Linked DNA regions of Cricetulus griseus. The protein of the gene in region 1 purifies or fractionates together with the protein of each later gene. This does not show direct contact. Links are inferred from orthologs where the notes say so. Each region holds a gene or a part of one and is shown in the gene's direction. Other genes may lie near its edges.

Region 1 (3,646 bases):
TCCTGGGCCTGGGTGGGGGCCTGGGCAGAGCAGAGTGTCCTGGGAGAGCAGCTCCCTGCCCCCACTCTGGACAGCACACAATGGCCGCTTTCTCCCCCATGACCTTTCCTTTCTGTGGCCTGAGCTGTGTGTGCTTTCTCCTCCCCTTCTCCAGAGGGGCTTGGGGTGGTAGCATCTCTACTACCCTTGAGGACCAGGAGCTCCTACCCACTTGTCCTCACTGGAGAATGGCTTCCCAGGCTGGTCCTGAGACTGCAGGGGCAGAGGGCAGCAAGTTTAGGCTTGGCCTGGTCTGGCATTGAAGTACCTGCCTCCAGCATCCCAGCAGCTGTGCTTATTAGCTGTGTGACCTTGAGCAAGCCCTTTGACCTCTCTGAGCCACTGAATCCTCATCAGTAGAGCAAGATAGCACTTGTGAAAGGAATTGTGAGCAAAATACTTGGCCAGTAAATAGTGAAACCTCAGCCAAGGTTAGTTCCATTGCTCAGTCTGTCCTTAAGGCTGCAGCCCACAGTTGATGGTGGCATGAAGCTGGAAACTCCAACTGTGTCAGAGTAGGGGTAGGAACCAGTCTGTCGGATGGGGTCCAACAGGAACATACCCAGGACTGTGTGATACACGGCGTCAGGGTCATATCCCATAGGAGACTTCTGCCTCCCTGTGGAATGGCTAGGCAGCAGTCTTGATTCCTGAGGAGAGGCTGTGAAACTGGTAGCAGTGGCTGTGAGACAGGACACTGTACCCACTGAGAATCCTTGGGGACCATGCATACCCAGGAAGGTGCAAGGACTTACAGGAAAGGGCTCGTAGCCAGCTTCTGGGCTCCTGAGCAGATTGAGTGAATGTACCTGAAGCACTAAGCATATGCCAGGCCAGAGCAGCTGCTTAGGAAGTAGTGCCTGTCCTGTGGCTTCAGCTGACTTTCCTACTCTGCTCCCCCAGATCCTGGCTGGGCATCTATCAGCAGAGGTGTGCTGGTCTGTGACGAGTGCTGCAGTGTGCATCGGAGCCTGGGACGACACATCTCCATTGTCAAGCACCTTCGCCACAGCGCCTGGCCTCCTACACTGCTACAGGTAGGGGATTAAACCAGAGACTCCTTCCCAGTGTGCAGTGCCCAGGTATCCCCAACCCTCTTCCTGTCAGACAGTAGCCACTTAAAGTAGTATGACCCTCAACCTTTCCACTCACCCCTTCCCCTGTAGTGTCTATTCATTAGCTTGGATGCTTATCTTAGACAGTGCATTGAGCAAGTTGCTGAAACTCTCTGAACCTTGGCAAACCCACCAGGGTAAGCCAGCATGAAGTGCTAAACACAGGACACATGACTTTGGGTGGCCTGACTGGATAGAGGGCAGCCATAGCAGGCACACAGTAGGACCTTTGGTGGTATCTCCAGCTGCAGCAGGCACTCTGGGAATGTCTCCCCTAGTGCCCAGCACAGAGTGGGCACTCTTTTGCTTGGCATCTCTTCCCCACAGATGGTGCACACGCTTGCCAGCAACGGGGCCAACTCCATCTGGGAGCACTCCCTGCTGGACCCTGCACAAGTGCAAAGTGGCCGGCGTAAAGCCAACCCCCAAGACAAAGTCCAGTGAGTGGGGCTGCAGGGGTGGTGGGCAGGGCCGTGTTTCTGGGACAGGGGCCTGAATGGTGGTTGTCCTAAGCTCCGCTCCCATGGCCTCCTGTGTGTTCCATGCAGCCCCATCAAATCAGAGTTCATCAGGGCCAAGTACCAAATGCTGGCGTTTGTGCACAAGCTTCCCTGCCGCGATGATGATGGCGTCACTGCCAAAGACCTCAGCAAGGTGTGAGGAGCCCCTCAACAGATGGGTGGGCCACCCCTCTTTCCATATTCAAGTCCCAGAGGCAACCCAGGGCTGGGGAAAAAAGTAGGTGCAGACACCCTGGGGCTAGGGAAGTTTGCTCTGTCATGCAGCTGGTGGCTAAGATACCTCCACTCTCACGTGGACAGACATAGGGCCTCCCGTCTACGACTTGAAGCTAGGAAAACTTGGGGTACTCGCTTAGCTGTTCGGAGCCTTTATTTCCTCATCAGTGAAATGGGATAGTAGTAACACACCTGCCTCTAGTTTCTGTGTGTTCCAAGCAGAGCACATGAAGGGTAGTGACTGGGAGTAACTGTTAATGACATTACCCTCTAGCCTGCCTGACATGGCCCAGTTTTGTCGAGGCCCCTTGGAGCTGGTAGGAGTACCAGGAACAGCCAGGTGTGTGGGGGAGGTTCCTCGGACACTCACAAGTATCCATCACACTCACTCCCACTTAACCACACACTGCTCCTTGCAGCAACTGCACTCCAGTGTGCGAACAGGCAACTTGGAGACATGTCTTCGCCTGCTTTCCCTGGGTGCCCAGGCCAACTTCTTTCACCCAGAAAAGGGCACTACACCTCTACATGTGGCTGCCAAGGCGGGGCAGACACTGCAGGCTGAACTGCTGGTGGTGTATGGGGCTGACCCCGGCTCCCCTGATGTCAATGGCCGCACGCCAATCGACTATGCCAGGTGAGAATCAGTTAAAGGGTGAGGCTTAGGTGGAGAGGAATGGACTGTTGCTGTAGGGCTGAGCCATGTCCCTCCCCACAGGCAGGCGGGGCACCATGAACTGGCAGAAAGGCTAGTTGAGTGCCAGTATGAGCTCACTGACCGGTTGGCCTTCTACCTCTGTGGACGCAAGCCCGGTGAGCAGAGAATGAGTTGGGCCTGACTAGGCCAGGCAGGTGGGACCTAGGCACACCCAGGAGCAGGTGCCATAGTGACAAAGCCAGCTGGGGAACTGTGTTGCTAGGCAACTGGCTCCTGTGAAATTGCTGCAGGCTCTGGGTTGCTGCAAGCATGTTGGGGCCAAGGAGTGGGGGTGGGCCTGACTTGCAGCCAGTTTTCAATGCTCTTGGGGTATCCTGCCCTCCTCCATTTCCTCTGACACTTCCAGGTGTCAAACCCTGCTCATGGTAGTGAGGTAAGCTCCTGGGTGCTGGCGCCACCTGGCATCAGTGACTTGGCATTTTTATTTTTGTTCAGATCACAAGAATGGGCATTACATCATCCCACAGATGGCTGACAGGTGAGTGCCCACCTGATGCCCCTTTCAGCTATTAGATGTCAAGGTGGCTTGACCCAGAGCCCTACATCTTCCCAGGCTTCAGTGGCTTGGCACCCCACCCTATACACATAGTGACTAGCAACACAGAAATTCATAGCCTAGTTGCCACCTACTGTATACCCCCAAGGCAGGTGAGAAATGTCGGTTCAACACACACCAGTGCACCTGAGCCTTGTGGTTACTAAGTATTGGAGGGCGGGGGTTGGTACAAGGAAAGAAGGCCTGACTAGGTTGGACCACTGCGTTTGGACTTCTGTGTCACTTTGGATAAAGGATTCCCTCTGCAGGGAGAAGATAGCTCCGGGGAACTGGCTGACTTTGGGACTACTAGCCAGGCCCCCAGTGTGCTCCCAACTGGATGGGAATCCCAGGCAGGGTAGTAATGGGGAATTTCTGCCTCTGATCTCAGAGGCCCCAAGATAACCCAGGCAGTGGAGGCTATCCCCAGCCACTTACTCAGTTTACAAGACAGATGGTGGCGCCACCTAGTGGTCCTCAGAGGGCTACACCTTCATGCCAG
Region 2 (3,746 bases), on another chromosome or scaffold:
AGGGAGGCAGAAGCAGGCAGATCTCTGAGTTCAAGGTCTTCCTGGTCTAGTCTACCAGAAACTTGTGGGGGGGGGGGAGCGGGCCTAGACAGCTTCTGTTTGGCATTAAATGAGCAGTAATCCCATCAGATCTGGTTTTGGGAACAGCCATTCTGGTCAGAGCCTGTATCAGTAGGGCAGTGGTTATAAGGATCCTGAGATATGAACAAGACAAAGAATACTCAGGAGGCTGTAGTGATGAAGTAGGGAGGAGGGGAGGATGAAGCAGGGGTCAGGGGAAAACAGCCTGGGTTTTGACTTGGATGTCCAAGGATATCATCCACTGATAACCCCCCCCCATCTGATTTGTATTGATCCAAAGCAGTGAAGAAGAGCAAAGGAAGTAGGGGTACTTGTTTTGCTGGTCTGTGAACTGGAACAAGAATCAGTTTCTAAGTGTCCAGAGCTGGGTTTGAAGAGCCCAGGCACGTTTGGAAATCAGAAAGGTGCTCTTAAAGATTTTATTTATTTATTATATATACAACATTCTGCTTCCATGTATGTCTGCACACCAGAAGAGGGCACCAGATCTCATAACGGATGGTTGTAAGCCACCAGTGGTCGCTGGGAATTGAACTCAGGACCTCTGGAAGAGCAGTCGGTGCTCTTAACCTCTGAGCCATTTCTCCAGCCCCTAATTTTTTTTTTTTTCATTTGTTTGCTTGAGATATGGTCTCACTATTTAGCACTGCCTGGATTTGACCTTACAGAAAGACACCTGCCTCTGCTTCTCAAGTAATGGAAGGACAGAATAGGCAGTAGTTGGTTACGATAGAAGGAGGCACTTAGAAGGCCACCAGGCCTGAGGATCTGAGTTCCATCCCTAGGCACCCAAGTGGTTAAAAAAAAAGAGAGCACTGATTGTCAAATTGTCTGTCCTCAGACCTCCATATGTGCATAAGTAAGTAAATAAAAAATAATGGAATAAAAAAAAAGTTCAGCCCTCATCGGAGTGTGGTTTGGTAGCTCACACAATTTAATCCATCTCAGCACTTGGGAGGCAGAGGCAGGCAGAGCTCTGTGAGTTAGTGGCCAGCCCGGTCTACGTGGTGAGTTACAGGACACCAAGGACTACATGGCAATCAATACCCTGTCTAAAAATAAGGAAAACAACAGCAAAATGTTCATAGTATTGTCACCCGAGGTCTGGGGTCCGAGGTGTTTATGTTAGTGTGATCCTGAGAAAATGTTCTGAAATCTGAGTCTGGGATCTTGGTCGGTGTCAGGATTCTTATTATCGTCCACGGTCTGGGGTCCACGCCCTGCTGGGAGCATGGAGTCTAGCCTCCTGAGGAGATGCGATCCCAGTTTGTGGCCATCCCCTAGGGTCGTCCCGGAGTCCTGGGTGCAGGACTCAGGTAACAGCCCAGGACTGCGATCCGCGTCCCTGTCCCGGACCCGAGCAGCGCGGCCTCTAGGGGGCGCTGCCGCCCGCCTGCCCGCCGCCCGCCCGGCTCGGCCCCTCGGCGGCTCGCTGGCGCTGTGCGCGGCAGCGGGGCCGGAGGCGGCGGCGGCGGCGGCGGCAGCTCCGGGCGCGGGCGGGCGGAGGGAGGGCGGGTGGTGGTGGTGGTGGCGGCGGCGGCCCCCGACTGCAGTCCCGGCGGGAGCGGAGCGCGAGCCGGGCCGGGCCCGAGCCGGCGCCATGGGGCGGCGGCGCCTGTGAGCAGGCGACGAGCGGGGACCGGACGGGGCGGCGGCGGCGCCGAGGCCGACAAGCCGCGCGGGCCGAGCCGGGCCGAGCGAGCGGGAGCGGAGCGGAGCCTCGGGCGGCGGGAGGAACAGCGCCGCCGCCGCCAAGATGGCCGACCTGGAGGCGGTGCTGGCCGATGTGAGCTACCTGATGGCCATGGAGAAGAGCAAGGCCACGCCGGCCGCGCGCGCCAGCAAGAAGATCCTGCTTCCAGAGCCCAGGTGAGGAGCCCGCCTCTGCCGGGCCCCACGCGCCGACCCGGGTACCATGCCCCCGGGGACCCCTCTCTCCCCGCCGCCCCAGGCCCCGGGGACTCCCCCTGCTCCGGTGACCCTCTGCCCCAAAGACCCCACTATCCGGGCCGCCCCAGGACCCGGGGACCCCCATACTCCCGGATCTTCTGCTCCGGAGACCCCACTATCCGGGCCGCCCCAGGACCCGGGGACTTCCTCTCTCCCTGCCACCGCAAGGCCCGGTGCCTGCGAGCCCGGAGCGCCCCAACTCCAAGCTCCCATCGCGCTCTCCCGGCCGCGCTACCGCTTCCTGTATCTCACTGCTGGGCCTGGTCGCTGTCAGCCCCTAGCTCTGCTGCAGCTGTCTTCCCACCCTGGGTGCTGGACTCTGCCCTCCACCCTTTGTGTCCCCTTGGGGTTCCTTTCCCCAGGTCTGCCTCTGTTTACCCAGTCTGTTGCTCCTGCTCCCAGCACCCCCCTCTTTGGCGTTCCACTGTCCTATCCACTCCCCTCAGAGTGGGTAACACTCTTGTTCGGTTTGTGGAGTAGGGAGGACCAGTCTGGAGACTTTTTTTTTTTTTTTTTTTTTTTTTTGCCTTCTCATCTGGTAGTGTCACTGCCCCTGGCTTGGATTTGAGAGTACTTTGGGGGGACAGTGCTGTGTGATGTGTCTACCATCCCTCGGGGCTGTGCTCAGGTGAGGGTAGTCCCTTCTCCGTTTTCTCCCCATGTGGTGCCTTGTAGGTACTTTTGACGAGGGGACAGCCCATCCTACAGTAGCTGGACCGTGCTGCCACCTTTCTGCAAGACAACTGATGTCATTGCACCTGGTATCAAAGTTTAAACTGTTCAGGATGTGGGTGCAGAATCGGGCAGGATGTGAGAAGTGTAGCTGGGGTTTGTCCAGTATATTGTGGCAAATAGACTTACCTTCCCATTTGAACTCACAGGAGACCAGAGAGTGAGTGAGACAGGTGTAGTTTTGTGCCCATAGAACAAGGTTTGTGTGTGTGTGTGTGGCGGGGGTACAGCTCCCCCTTGAATGGCTTGTTCAGTGTCACCCAACCTCCACATCAGGGCTTCTAGTTGTATCTTTTGTTCACTGTCTTGACCTGAAGGATGGCCTGGATGTCCTGCGTCTGGAAAAGCAGATGTGTCTTCTACACATCAGGATGCCTTATGGTGGATGGGTGGTGAGGTCAGTCCCAGAAGTTTTTCATGACAGTCCCTTTAGCAGCCAAGAATTGTTCCTGACTTTACCACCATACTCTTATCACAAGACATGGGGCAAGTTCTTTTCCTTTTAGACCTTGATTTTTACCTCTGTGAAATGTGGGCAGTATGAAATAGGCCTCTGGTGGCCCCAGTTGTTGGAGCAGGGTTGGCAGCTTACAGGGATGCTGTTGTACACTTACCATGCCCCTCCTCCAGTGGCTGCTTACTGGGTTTCGGGTTGACTGAGAATCAGGCCCGTAGAGGAAAAATTGGTCTGCGTTTCGAAGAGGCCGTTGCCCCCCCCTTTTTTTCTAAGACATTTGCAATCAGATTTCTCAAAACAGGAACTAGACGAGTGTCAGCCAGGGCTGTCTAGGGGCAGCGGCAGTTAGGACGAAATGAGTTCAGAAATGACAAAACTTCAAGGGAAGAGAAGGGGGAGGCTTGCAGTTAGCATCTAGGGCACTGTCTATCTCTTCTGGGCAGCCACAGCCATGAGAGTCTTGTGCAGGTGTGAGGTCTGCAAAGTTTGAGGTGGTGCCTTTTTCTAGAACTCTCCATATTTGGAT
Region 3 (3,746 bases), on another chromosome or scaffold:
GCCACCTTGTAGGTGCCAAGGACTGATCTCTATCAGAGCAACAAGTGCTCAACACTACTGAACCATTTCTACAGTACCTAAAAAGTTTTATTGCATTTATTTATTTGTGTATGTAGTGTATCATATGTCATGATATACATGTGGAGATCAGAGGAAAACATGGGAAAGAGATACTTGTGTTTAACCTGTGTCCCAAGGATTGAACTCTGTGAAAAGTTTCTGCACCCTGATAAGCCTCTCCACCAGTATAGCAATCCAGATTAGACCAAATCAAACCAAACTAGAAAAAGCCCAGATTTAATGGATACAATTCTCCTGGTTGGTTTTCCAGTCCCCCAGGGAGGAGACAGAAAAGAGAGACCGGGAAACAATGTTTTCTGGTGTACAGTGTAAATACCCTGTGGGAGTGGTCTTGAACATCTCTGGGGGAGGGGTCATCATTTGATGGGTTTTCTGAGATGGGGCAGTTTGGAGAGGTGGGGGAGGGGGTTTTCCACCAAAACATTCCAGATCCTTTGGGTATATGGATGCCAGGGACTGGGGTGAAGCTTCCATCAGAACACGCAGGTCATCAGTCTTGGCAGCAAGTGCCTTTACCCACTGATCCACTTTACTGGTCCCAATTGTTTATTTTATTTTAGGTTTTTGAGACAGGATTTCTTTGTAGCTTTGGAGCCTGTTCTGGAATCACTCTGTAGATCAGTCTGGCCTCGAACTTACAGAGATCTGCCTGTCTTTGTCTCCTGAGTGCTGGGATTAGAGGTATGCACCACCACTGCCCAGCCCCATTTTTTTTTTTTTTTTAATGTAGAAATTCCTATCTCCTCAAATACTGCACATACTCAAGATTTGGAAAGGGTGAATAATGGAAGAGCTGAATTTTTTCTGTTTACAGTTCTTTCTCTGCAATTAGATGAATTTGGGCACACTGAATGGAAGTGCAAACATTTGTCAGGGAAGATGGCTGAATATTTAGTGAGTTGGGTTTCATGCTGGTCTAGTGGATACTCTATGCTAGTCAGTAAAGACTGGGCTACTGGAGTTAGTATGAAGATGACCAACAATGATCTGTTATAAACAAAACAGATAAATGAGAGGACTAAAAAGAAACAGGCTTAGGAACCAGACCGTGGTATATAGATGATTGTGTTGTTTACTGGATGTGTGATGCTGGGGAAGTCACCGTATTTTCTTATCCATTGCTTCCTGTCTTATACCTGGTCTGCTGTGTTACTTTCAAGCAGTATCTTCAGAATGTGTTACTTCTTTTCATCTTAGATATTATAATAAATTAGTACTATCTTCTTCTTTCTGTTGCCTATAGCTCTAAGAGATTCTGTTAATGTGCTCTTGCCCTCACTCTCTCCCACTGACCAGGGGTCTTTTAAAAATGTCAGCTTTTGTCATTTTGTTTTTTCAGAGCACTTCCATTGCTGAAACTTGGAGCAAAATCTAAAGTTATGAGCAGGTGAGATGGCTCAGTGAGTAAAGGCACTTGCCACCAAGCCTGACAACCCAAGATTGATCCCTGGGACCCATATGGTAGAGGAGAAAACTGATTCCCATGAGTTATCCTCCAATCTTATTACAAGAGATGTAAATAATTTAAAACATCCAAACTCATTAATTGTGACCTGGAAGAGATAATCTGCATAACTTGACTCCAGTCATAAACCTCAAAGGCAAGGGATGAGTTGGATGAGTGGAGCCAGTGGTGAGAGATACTGTCTCCTGTGGAGCACTTGGAAATATGTGAAGGTACTTTTTTTTTTTTTTTTAAATCATTGTAGTCCTTTAGGGGTACCTTTTATTGGGAGGGGACAGTCCAGAGTTGGTTCTTTAATATGTTGTCCAGGTCTAGTTCTGTCATAGTGACTAGTATCTAGCAGGTCCTTAAGAAATTCGGAGATCATATTCTTCTAGGACCTCAATTCTGACACCTGTGAATTGATGTAGTGCTTACTCCATAAGGCTTGTAAAGTACTGGGACACATACAATAAATAGCTCTTAACAAATGGTAGCTATTGCTGAGCTTTGTTCAAAGGAGAGGATGGTATAAGGGAAACTTTTTGAGAGTCAATATTAAGAGATCTCCCCCTCTCCATCCTAGTGTGAAAGAACCTTCAATCTGATTTGAGGAGGTCTAGGAAAGACTCCTCAATACCAGGCTGCAGAACTAAGGCACAGAGGATCTCCGGTTTTCTTCTTGATCCTGGGGCTCAAGGGGACTTTGGTAGCTCTAGACAGCCTGCCTAGCACCTCTTGTTGGAGCCTGAGTTGGTAGAACAGCAGAGACAACCAGAATGGTGGGGATGTAGCTGCTTCCCGCCCCTCAGCGCCTCTTCAGAAAGGAGAGGGCGGGGAGAGCGCTCCCCGCCCCCTTCCCCTCCCTTTCTCTGTTCCTCCCTCCCTCCCCGCCCCTTCACTGAACCACTCTGTCTTTGCTGCCGCCCTGAGAGGGCCAGAGTGTGCTGCTCCTCTGGAGCTGTGTGGCTGTTCTGCTGTACCCAGCCGAATCCAGCCTGTCAGGCTGGTTCAGCCCTGGCTTTGTCGCAACTGCTGAGCAGGGAGAGGTGCGGCGCTGCGACAGATACACAAGATCATCAGAGATGCTGGGCCCCGCACTCCCTGCCAGGTAATGCCGGCCTTTCCTGGGCCTGGCACAGCTAGGCTGAGCTAGGGTAGGACGAGGGGGAGTCTTGCTGCTTTGTGGGGTAGAATGGAAGAGCATTACATTCCACTTACCTTAAGGGACTCTTAATGAGGGAAGGGCCTCAGGGTGGAACCTTGAAATAAGCCCACTCAGGGCTAGGCCTTTGCTGGAATTAGAGATCTGGCTAGAAAAGGTTAGAAGGGGAAGCTGGATTTTTGGGGAACTATGAGGCCCCCCCCCCTGCCCTCCTTTGTAAGCATGCTTCTGCTTAGTGGCCTGGGTGATGCCTTTCTGTGCCTTGGTTTAGCTGAAGGTTTACTAGGATCAAAGGTACTGCTCCCTGGTAGGAGATGCAGTGAAGAAGGAGACCCCTGGTGCTGTTCCTGTTTAGGCAGCCTCTGTGAGCCTCAGTTTCCTTATTTGTAGAGAAGGGTATACAATGTTTGTAACTGGGTTTCCTAGGCTGTCAGGTTACCTTGGAAAGGTGAGCTAGATACAGACTAGAGGAGCCAGCCTTCTGTGTGTATTTTGCTGGTCTGATTAGAACCAGTGACTTCAGGGCAAGACAGGTTGAAAATGCTGATTCTCTCTTAGGGGCCAGTGTAGGTATGTTGCTGTAGGGCAGTGGGGGTTGAGAAGAAACAGGTGAAAGTATGTTAATATTTTTCCCTGAACTGGCCAATTCTTTGATACTTAGGCCACTGCTATAAACTAGGCTGTCTTCTGAGGAGCACTGTTATTGATCTACTAAGTAAATTGCAGACCTTGAGATTGTATAATGCCTTAATCACTGTAATTCCTTCCTTTATTATTTGGCACCAAGAAATACAAATATTAATGTACCTTGATTATTTTGGGCTTGCTTTCTAATCTCAGTTTCAAAAAAGCTGTGTATTTCTTCTGACAAGCCTTCCTTTCCTTCCTCCTCCTCCTGGTCATTTTTTCCTTGCCTGCCCCCTCACCTGTTCTCCTACCTCACCATTTTTCTTCCTTCCTTTCCTTGTATTCATGCTTTCCACTTCTTGTCTCTTCCCCTCTATAACCAGTTGTTTTTGTTTTCTGTTTTTTCTTTTCTCCCCTGCATCCTCTCCC

Evidence for each region.
Region 2: the proteins of Git1 (region 1) and Grk2 purify together in Homo sapiens (affinity purification with western blotting; 4 studies listed by BioGRID and IntAct, with this or other methods). This does not show direct contact. The link is inferred for Cricetulus griseus from reciprocal best matches to the Homo sapiens genes GIT1 and GRK2.
Region 3: the proteins of Git1 (region 1) and Pak1 purify together in Homo sapiens (affinity purification with mass spectrometry; 6 studies listed by BioGRID and IntAct, with this or other methods). This does not show direct contact. The link is inferred for Cricetulus griseus from reciprocal best matches to the Homo sapiens genes GIT1 and PAK1.

What each region holds. Positions count from the first base shown.
Region 1 is NC_048600.1:90,901,557-90,905,202, forward strand, and holds part of Git1 (ARF GTPase-activating protein GIT1), read left to right. Parts: intron 1-942; coding exon 943-1,076; intron 1,077-1,481; coding exon 1,482-1,594; intron 1,595-1,702; coding exon 1,703-1,808; intron 1,809-2,310; coding exon 2,311-2,528; intron 2,529-2,609; coding exon 2,610-2,704; intron 2,705-3,044; coding exon 3,045-3,087; intron 3,088-3,646. UniProt on the Homo sapiens protein: GTPase-activating protein for ADP ribosylation factor family members, including ARF1.
Region 2 is NC_048596.1:54,951,493-54,955,238, forward strand, and holds the start of Grk2 (beta-adrenergic receptor kinase 1), read left to right. Parts: upstream 1-1,636; 5' UTR 1,637-1,837; coding exon 1,838-1,950; intron 1,951-3,746. UniProt on the Homo sapiens protein: Specifically phosphorylates the agonist-occupied form of the beta-adrenergic and closely related receptors, probably inducing a desensitization of them. Key regulator of LPAR1 signaling.
Region 3 is NC_048596.1:101,664,571-101,668,316, reverse strand, and holds the start of Pak1 (serine/threonine-protein kinase PAK 1), read left to right. Parts: upstream 1-1,519; 5' UTR 1,520-1,689; coding exon 1,690-1,758; intron 1,759-3,746. UniProt on the Homo sapiens protein: Protein kinase involved in intracellular signaling pathways downstream of integrins and receptor-type kinases that plays an important role in cytoskeleton dynamics, in cell adhesion, migration, proliferation, apoptosis, mitosis, and in vesicle-mediated transport processes.